Linked DNA regions of Xenopus tropicalis. The protein of the gene in region 1 interacts with the protein of each later gene in a biochemical or structural test. Links are inferred from orthologs where the notes say so. Each region holds a gene or a part of one and is shown on either strand. Other genes may lie near its edges. The genes, in order: rnf4 and ube2w.

The links.
Region 2: the proteins of rnf4 (region 1) and ube2w form a complex in vitro, tested with the Homo sapiens proteins (2 studies listed by BioGRID). The link is inferred for Xenopus tropicalis from reciprocal best matches to the Homo sapiens genes RNF4 and UBE2W.

What each region holds. Positions count from the first base shown.
Region 1 is NC_030677.2:21,717,078-21,721,551, forward strand, and holds the start of rnf4 (E3 ubiquitin-protein ligase RNF4), read left to right. Parts: upstream 1-1,424; 5' UTR 1,425-1,472; intron 1,473-4,474. UniProt on the Homo sapiens protein: E3 ubiquitin-protein ligase which binds polysumoylated chains covalently attached to proteins and mediates 'Lys-6'-, 'Lys-11'-, 'Lys-48'- and 'Lys-63'-linked polyubiquitination of those substrates and their subsequent targeting to the proteasome for degradation.
Region 2 is NC_030682.2:121,373,674-121,378,237, reverse strand, and holds the start of ube2w (ubiquitin-conjugating enzyme E2 W), read left to right. Parts: upstream 1-1,740; 5' UTR 1,741-1,783; coding exon 1,784-1,798; intron 1,799-1,835; exon of another isoform or gene 1,836-1,883; coding exon of another isoform or gene 1,884-1,913; intron 1,914-2,698; exon of another isoform or gene 2,699-2,905; intron 2,906-4,564. UniProt on the Homo sapiens protein: Accepts ubiquitin from the E1 complex and catalyzes its covalent attachment to other proteins.

The DNA.
Region 1 (4,474 bases):
CTATAATCCCCTCTAATGTACTTGTACAGAGTAATCATGTCCCCTCGCAAGCGCCTCTTTTCCAGAGAAAATAACCCCAACCTCGACAGTCTCACCTCATAATTTAACCCTTCCATCCCCTTTACCAGTTTAGTTGCAGTCTCTGCACTCTCTCCAGCTCATTAATATCCTTCTTAAGGACTGGAGCCCAAAACTGCCCCCCATACTCAAGGTGAGGCCTTACCAGGGACCTATAAAGGGGCAAAATTATGTTCTCATCCCTTGAGTCAATGCCCTTTTTTATACAAGACAGCAAAGTTGTTAAGAGGAGGCAGCTCAGCAGTGTATCCAGCTGTCAGTCATACTGGAACTGTCGTTGTGAATAGGAGGCAGCTCAGCAGTGTATCCAGCTGTCAGTCATACTGGAACTGTCGTTGTTAAGAGGAGGCAGCTCAGCGGTGTATCCAGCTGTCAGTCATACTGGAACTGTCGTTGTTAAGAGGAGGCAGCTCAGCGGTGTATCCAGCTGTCAGTCATACTGGAACTGTCGTTGTGAAGAGGAGGCAGCTCAGCGGTGTATCCAGCTGTCAGTCATACTGGAACTGTCGTTGTGAATAGGAGGCAGCTCAGCAGTGCACACAGCAGCTTATTTATATGAGCTATAGTACTGTAACTCTAGCAAATACACTACTTTACCAGTGCAGGGTAACAGTACATTATATTTTAAATACTTTTATACACTTTCATTTTTGGCGTTACTGTTCCTTTAAGGAGAAGACTGGGTAAAATGGACCAAAACAAGGCTTGGGCTATTAGGCTCCTTTTGTCACAGTGGCAGCAGGGTCTCAATGTTTTTATATTAACAGGAATTAGATTTGTCACATTTAAGGGACAGGACTAGAGCTGATTTAGGAGAAGACAGGGTGAATTTGAACAAAAGTAATCTTTTACAAAGTTCCCAGTCAGTTCCTGGGTCCCATAAGGGCAGTAAAGACCGCTTCCGCCAGGAGTTCGCCCTGTCTCACACAGGAATTAGATCACTCCAGCTGTCACAGTTATGTCCAAATCTTATTAAACACCAACAATGCTCTTAGCAAAGCCATTTCCCATAAAAAAGTAAAACTGACACTGTAAAAAGCTACTTTTTATAGCTGCTAAATTAGGCCTGTTTCTCTGATCAGTTTTTTGGAAGGGATGGGCGTGGCCAATTTTGAACCTGACACACTGAGAACTTCCTCCCAGTGTTTGTAACTATCCAGCCGCTCGCCCCTCCCACAAGGGGGCGGGGTTACGCAGCGTCCCGGCGCTTCGATAGGTTTGTGTGACGTCACACTCTCGCGAGAAGAGACTTGTGCCGTTTGGATCAGTAGTTGTCCGGATGGAGCCGTGAAGCTGCCTGTTATTGTGCTTGCGGGATTGTTAAGCTTTGATCCAGGACTGCAGGCGGGACTGAAACAAACGGGACTGTCCCGGGAAAAGCGGAACGGTTGGGGGTATGTAAACTGATACAAACGGGAGCTCCCCACAAAAAGGGCACTGGAGAGGGGGGCATGGAGGCCACTGACAGGAGAGAGGGCCCATAGGAGTTAGAGCCAACTGACAGGCGAGAGAGCCTACAGGAGAGGGGTACTCCGGCCTCACTGACAGGAGAGAGGGCCCCACTGGGGGCAGAGAGCATTGACAGGAGAGGGTTTCCCGGAGCCCTCCCAGGGTCTCTTTGGGGATAGAGCCACCAACAGGAGCGCCCCATGGGCGGGCTAGAGCCCACTGCCAGGAGAGAGGGCCCCATGGGGGGGCTAGAGCCCACTGCCAGGAGAGAGAGCCACATGGGGGGGCTAGAGCCCACTGCCAGGAGAGAGAGCCACATGGGGGGGCTAGAGCCCACTGCCAGGAGAGAGAGCCACATGGGGGGGCTAGAGCCCACTGCCAGGAGAGAGAGCCACATGGGGGGGCTAGAGCCCACTGCCAGGAGAGAGAGCCACATGGGGGGGCTGGAGCCCACTGCCAGGAGAGAGAGGGCCCCATGGGCGGGCTGGAGCCCACTGCCAGGAGAGAGAGGGCCCCATGGGGGGGCTAGAGCCCACTGCCAGGAGAGAGGGCCCCATGGGGGGGCTAGAGCCCACTGCCAGGAGAGAGAGGGCCCCATGGGCGGGCTAGAGCCCACTGCCAGGAGAGAGGGCCCCATGGGCGGGCTAGAGCCCACTGCCAGGAGAGAGAGCCCCATGGGGGGGCTAGAGCCCACTGCCAGGAGAGAGGGCCCCATGGGGGGGCTAGAGCCCACTGCCAGGAGAGAGGGCCCCATGGGGGGGCTAGAGCCCACTGCCAGGAGAGAGGGTCCCATGGGGGGGGGCTAGAGCCCACTGCCAGGAGAGAGGGCCCCATGGGGGGGGCTAGAGCCCACTGCCAGGAGAGAGGGCCCCATGGGGGGGGCTAGAGCCCACTGCCAGGAGAGAGGGCCCCATGGGGGGGCTAGAGCCCACTGCCAGGAGAGAGGGCCCCATGGGGGGGGCTAGAGCCCACTGCCAGGAGAGAGGGCCCCATGGGGGGGCTAGAGCCCACTGCCAGGAGAGAGGGCCACATGGGGGGGCTAGAGCCCACTGCCAGGAGAGAGGGCCCCATGGGGGGGCTAGAGCCCACTGCCGGGAGAGAGGGCCCCATGGGCAGGCTAGAGCCCACTGCCGGGAGAGAGGGCCCCATGGGCAGGCTAGAGCCCACTGCCAGGAGAGAGGGCCCCATGGGCGGGCTAGAGCCCACTGCCAGGAGAGAGAGAGGGCCCCATGGGCGGGCTAGAGCCCACTGCCAGGAGAGAGAGAGGGCCCCATGGGCGGGCTAGAGCCCACTGCCAGGAGAGAGAGAGGGCCCCATGGGCGGGCTAGAGCCCACTGCCAGGAGAGAGAGAGGGCCCCATGGGCGGGCTAGAGCCCACTGCCGAGAGAGAGAGGGCCCCATGGGCGGGCTAGAGCCCACTGCCAGGAGAGAGAGGGCCCCATGGGCGGGCTAGAGCCCACTGCCAGGAGAGAGAGGGCCCCATGGGCGGGCTAGAGCCCACTGCCAGGAGAGAGAGGGCCCCATGGGGGGGCTAGAGCCCACTGCCAGGAGAGAGAGAGGGCCCCATGGGCGGGCTAGAGCCCACTGCCAGGAGAGAGGGCCCCATGGGGGGGCTAGAGCCCACTGCCAGGAGAGAGGGCCCCATGGGGGGGCTAGAGCCCACTGCCAGGAGAGAGGGCCCCATGGGCACTGATAGGAGAGGGAGACGCAGCACAGCCGGACACATGGGGGGCAGAGCCTACTGACGGGAGAGGGAGACGCAGCACAACCGGACACGTGGGGGGCAGAGCCTACTGACGGGAGAGGGAGACGCAGCACAGCCAGACACATGGGGGGCAGAGCCTACTGACGGGAGAGGGAGACGCAGCACAGCCAGACACATGGGGGGCAGAGCCTACTGACGGGAGAGGGAGACGCAGCACAGCCGGACACATGGGGGGCAGAGCCTACTGACGGGAGAGGGAGACGCAGCACAGCCGGACACATGGGGGGCAGAGCCTACTGACAGGAGAGGGAGACGCAGCACAGCCGGACACATGGGGGGCAGAGCCTACTGAGGGAAATGTGCAGCTCACTGAGAGGAAGAGGGCACAGAGAGAGGTACACATGGAATCCACTGACCATAATGTGGGCCCCATTGGGGAGCAGAAGCCAGTGACAGGAATGATGCTGTGGCTTTTAAAAATGTAGTAGGCACGCTACATAGAGTTGGACAGCACTTATTGAATGTGACATTGGGCCAGTCACTGGAAGCCACCTATGCACAGCTGTCACCAAAATTCCTCCTACTTGTGTGACAGCCCCATTATTATATGTTTCTTTATCTCGTAGGCAGTATTTGATATTATTAATATACCTCCATCTTTTCACAGAAGTTATAGCGGTACTGCTGCTGCTATTATAATAAACATTTCCCCTTCCAAATTGTAGTCAATGATTAGTAATTCTTATGCACAAATAGCTTTTATTTATTCATTTTTGTAGTCTTTGAAATACATAGTTCATTTTCCTTACAACCAGTAGAACATTGAAAATTTCTGACTCATGCTAGAATCTGCCAATTAGAGAAGGAGAAACCTGTTGGTGATTCATTCATTGGTTGCAGCTGAAATAAAGTATTTAACTGTATAAACAACTGCAATTGAAGTGCCAACCCTTATCCAGAGAGCTTACAATCTAAAAAGAAATCAGCAGTGAGACATAAGCAAAGGTGGTAAAGGTCTCTGGATACTGGCAGTTAGTGTCAAACAGTAAACCAGCTTATAATGTGCATGAGAAAATTCAGGTGCTCAAATTGACAGGTTACAATGTAATCTTGCGCAAAGGGGCGATTTCTATGCAAGTGGAGGGTTCCACAATGGGGAAGAGGTGGTGAGAAAGGTTGAGAGATGAAGATTGTGTACAGAAATTGTGTCAGAAAAAGCCAATCTGCATCTGCCCGCTCCCA
Region 2 (4,564 bases), on another chromosome or scaffold:
TGTGTAGTCACAGCGAAACGAAGCAGGAAGCGCTCCAGGTACCCCGGGCTGGTGCTGTTTCCTCCTAACAGGGGCACCAGCCCGGGTACAAGGTAAGCGATTAAAGTCACTTGGGGGTCCCAACATTTTAGCCTTTCCTTCTCCTTTAAAGAAAGAAAGGTAAAAAAACTAAGGCAACAGGGTAGAAGAGTCGCATGTTATGTATGGGATATTGGGATATAATGTTATTGCACATGCATGTCACTAATTTGCGCATCCACATCTACTCAGCAGCACATATCAGAAGATGATGCAAATGATAACGCTTTATAGAGGATTATTGCATAAGCATGCTGCCACTTTGTGAAGCTTAGGGCCCTATAAATAAGACCACATCCTCATTGCCATACACAGCACCCTTTAGACTTAAGAAGCACTGCACAACTGAAAATGATTATGAACACTAAACAAACATCTGATATTTCAGTAAGATCACTGACGTTAATAGATTATATGCATTTAAATAACCCCAGATATGCTAATAAGATCACTGCAGTAAATGGTTTCAAAGAACTGCATTAGACCCTCAGACATGCCAGAAAGATCACTTCAGAAAATGGATTCGAAAAACTGCCTTAAACTCAGACATGCCAGTAATATAATCGCAGAAAATGTAACACTAAATTAACCACAGATACGTCATTAAGATCTCAGCAGAAAACAGGTTAAAAAAACTGAGGACTGAGGTATCTATCCTGACTGCTTCCAAAGGGGTGCCAAGCTGACCAGGTGCATTTACCCTGCCCAGACTCTAAAGGAGGTGGGATAAACAGCTGTTCTGTCCTCAGAGTATTACTATCGTATACCATCTGTTGGTGAGTATTTGATCTAACCCTGCATTGCTACTTGTCTTTGACAATAAATCTGTGCTATAGTTTAACTGCAAGAACCTGCGTCTATCTTTACTAAATTGCATTGCAGACAGCTACAGTGAGTTGTAGTTATACTACACCCTAGCTCTGCTGGTCACTTCCATCTAGCAAAGGCCCATCCTGTTTAAGAGAGTCACATGTAGCCCATGCTCTAATACCTATACTAGCCTGGGTTTGACTATTTTATAGCCAAATAGCGGCTACATAAATTATCCCTGTCAGAAATGATTGAGTTACACTGACCTATTTCCTTTTGACTGAAGCAGTCATTAAGCAACAACTCTTCTTCTGTGCAGTGACTAAACCTAACAGCGCTCTAAAGCTGGCCATACACGCACCGATACTAACGTACGAAACGAGGTTTCGTACGATATTCGGTGCGTGTATGGCATGTCGGCATGTCAACCGATATCGCAGGAAGCTGCTGATATCGGACAACTCGCCGATCGGCCAGGTTAGAAAATTTTGATCGGGCACCATAGAAGGCGCCTGAGCAAAATCTGCGGTCAGGGCTGAATCGGCAGAAGGAGGTAGAAATCCTATTGTTTCTACCTCCTTATCTGCTGTTTCAGCCCTGACTGTGTGTGGCGGATCTGACGATGTTTTGTGCGACCATCATCCTCATATCGCCACGTGTATGGCCAGCTTAACACAAGCTCAGGTTGCAGCGAAACAATCACTACAAGTCCATGTCCTGCACACACAGACTATATTTGCCTTTAATGCCGCACTGCGCATGCCCAGAAGGACAAGCGCTGAGCCAGTGCGCCTGCGCAGCTTTACTCTCACAAGGGCGCAGGCAGTTCCTTGTAGATGACGTAGAGTCACGTGAGCGGTAGCGTCGCCCAAGAGGGAGGGGGTGGGTTTCCATCATGGCGTCAATGCAGGTGAGTGTTATTAGAGTTTTAAGCGGAGCGACCCGGATCTTCGCGGCTGGCAGCGGAATATTACCGGGAGTGGGAAGTGGGCTCTATGGAGAGCACTGCCAGCCGTGGTTTGTGGGTTTGTTTCTGCTTCTCGTTACTCCTGACATTCTTTTCTGGCTTCCCTATCTGTGTCCTCTGCAATTACCTGCCAGCTTCAGGGAACCTTCCGCTCAGAACGGCTCCCCTTGTCTCCGTGGGGATGCGGCTTGGCAGCTCACCTGTATAGCTGGTGTGGGAGGTGCGACGCTCGGTGTGCCAGCCTGCTAACTTTACACCCCCCCTTCCTATCGATAGCCTTGCCTGCCGTAGCTTCTGGGAATTGTAGTTTGATAATAGCTGGAGACCCATAGGCTTGACAGCTCATTGGGAACATTACATATTCTCCTCTGTACCTTCAACGTTCTGTGCGGTGGGTCAGGGCTTCTATAAGTACTTTATTTTATAGCTGAATCTGGGGCAGGAACTGGCTGCTATTATGTGTAGGGCAGGGATCAGCCAGCATATTCCATTTTATTGTGTGGGATATGAATCACCCAGCATGTTCCATTTTATTGTGTAGGGTAGGAAATGCCTGGTTATACTGCATCCCCTTCCCCCTGTGTAGGACATTAAGTCCCTGTTATGTTCCAGTTCTTTTACTTGGGCAGTAATTATCCAGTTTATTCAAATCCTTTCCAAAAAGACAGAACAAGCCGGCATTTTCCCTTTACTCCTGTGTATCATTGGGATTGTTATTTTACTTCCTCTTTATACTTTGTGCAAAAATTGACTTTGTTTTTCACTTACCTTGTTTTCTCCATGTAGGGCCATAAAATAAATATTATGGTTGTTTGACATTTATTAGACATGATCTGTCCTGTATTTTGATTCTTACACTGATTTGTGGGATTATCAGTACGTGTATGCAGCCCTGACTGGTATCTATGTATCATGGCTATCAACTGGTTCTTTCATCGGAGGTTGGAAAGTTTCATATGCCGATGCATCAAGTTGGCCGGTGTATGGTGCATAGATGAAGAGCCAGAGTTCCTCTTAACTTACTGATGTTCCGAGCAGAGGAAGAGAAAGGTAGCAGTTACATCTATGACCCCCTTATACAGCTATCTGACTGTTTGGCTGATATTTTGGATACCATCTTAATAATGTAGAGAAGAGCTCTATGGACAGAATAACTTTAGTGAATCTATTAATGTCTGTTACAAGGCCCCTGTGTGCTGTTTATCACATATTACGTTCTGTAATAGACATAAATAAATTCATTAAGCAGTTATTGTGCCTGTTGTGATCTCCTCTTCATTATTAAGATTATGTGAATAAACGGCTCCACCTTTTGGGGATCGATGCGCCAAGCCTGCAAAGCAGTAAGGCTTGAGCGTCTGAGCGCCTATTGTTTGATTCATTTGGATACCATATTGGATTGACCTGTGAGACTGTTCACTGCAGTAGTTATGGTAACAAAATATTTAGAATTGCTAAGAACCTCATTGCGTTATAGTCAATTGAAAATTCCATGGGTTTGAAACACCCTGGATAGTCAAGTGGCAGCTCATACACTTGGAAATTATATACTTGACAGTCAGTTGGAATAGTCTGTTCTAGTTGGAAGGAGACATTACCTGTTTACCCTTATTATTAAATTATTTGGAAGCTTAGTCATTGATAAACCTGGTACATTATCCATATAATTATTTAAGGTTGGTGTTTAATACCGCTTTAATGCAAATTACCTTTCTTGTCATATTGACTTCTTGATAATGTCATTTATTTGATCATATTCTTTCTATATCAAGTTTAATTAATGATCTCTTTTGATCTCAAGGATACTACTTACTTGTATCTAAAGTAAGTTTGTGCATTGATCTGTGTACCTTTCAATATAGAAAGTATCTTTAACAGTTAAAATGAATTAAAACAATATATTCTTTGTAGTTTATATTACATTATAATTTTCACTATAGTTACCCCTTCAGCTCAGGTGCCATATATTATAAGGAAAAGGGCATCTGATAAAACAGTGATCAGTACTTTATATGTCCCTTTTAATAAATGTTTCCTGCCGAACAGTGTTGTAATGGTAGAGGTTGTGCTGAAGGCTCTTGGTAAATGACAGAACTAGCATACAGGCTTTTCCTCCTCCGGGCCCCAAACACAGGTGATTTTCCTGATCCTTTTATGTGGGAGTTAATGCTTTTACTTTTTCAAGGTTTTGAGTTAAATAAAGTTAGTCATGTAGGTAGAATATGTTGTAAGTATCTTGTAGTGTAAATAAAAAATGTTTATTGTGATGTGCAGAATTTGGCTTAAAGCCGAATAGACATGTTTCAACCAACAAGAGGGCCAGTCAGGACCAGTGTCTAGAAAAGATAACCCAGCTGATTTCCCGGGACACTATGCTTTGTATAGTTTGTATGCTTCTGGCCAGTACACCAAACCTTTCTTGGTTCTTAAAAGGAGATTATCCACTTACAATATTGGTACGGTAGGCACTTAGCCTTTGTTAATAAACATCACAGTAACTAGATTTAGAAAAGCAAGAGCAACATAACTACAAAATAAAAATGTAAAAATTGAAACATATAAGACTTGATATGCTCTAAATATTGTAGCCATTAGAGTAAACACACAGTGCCACCACCCAGCCTTTAAAGAGAAGGATTTTTGAAGGTCTGTAATTTTATTTAATCACCTCTTACCTGTGTTACAAAGGCATAGTATGTAAGTAGTATT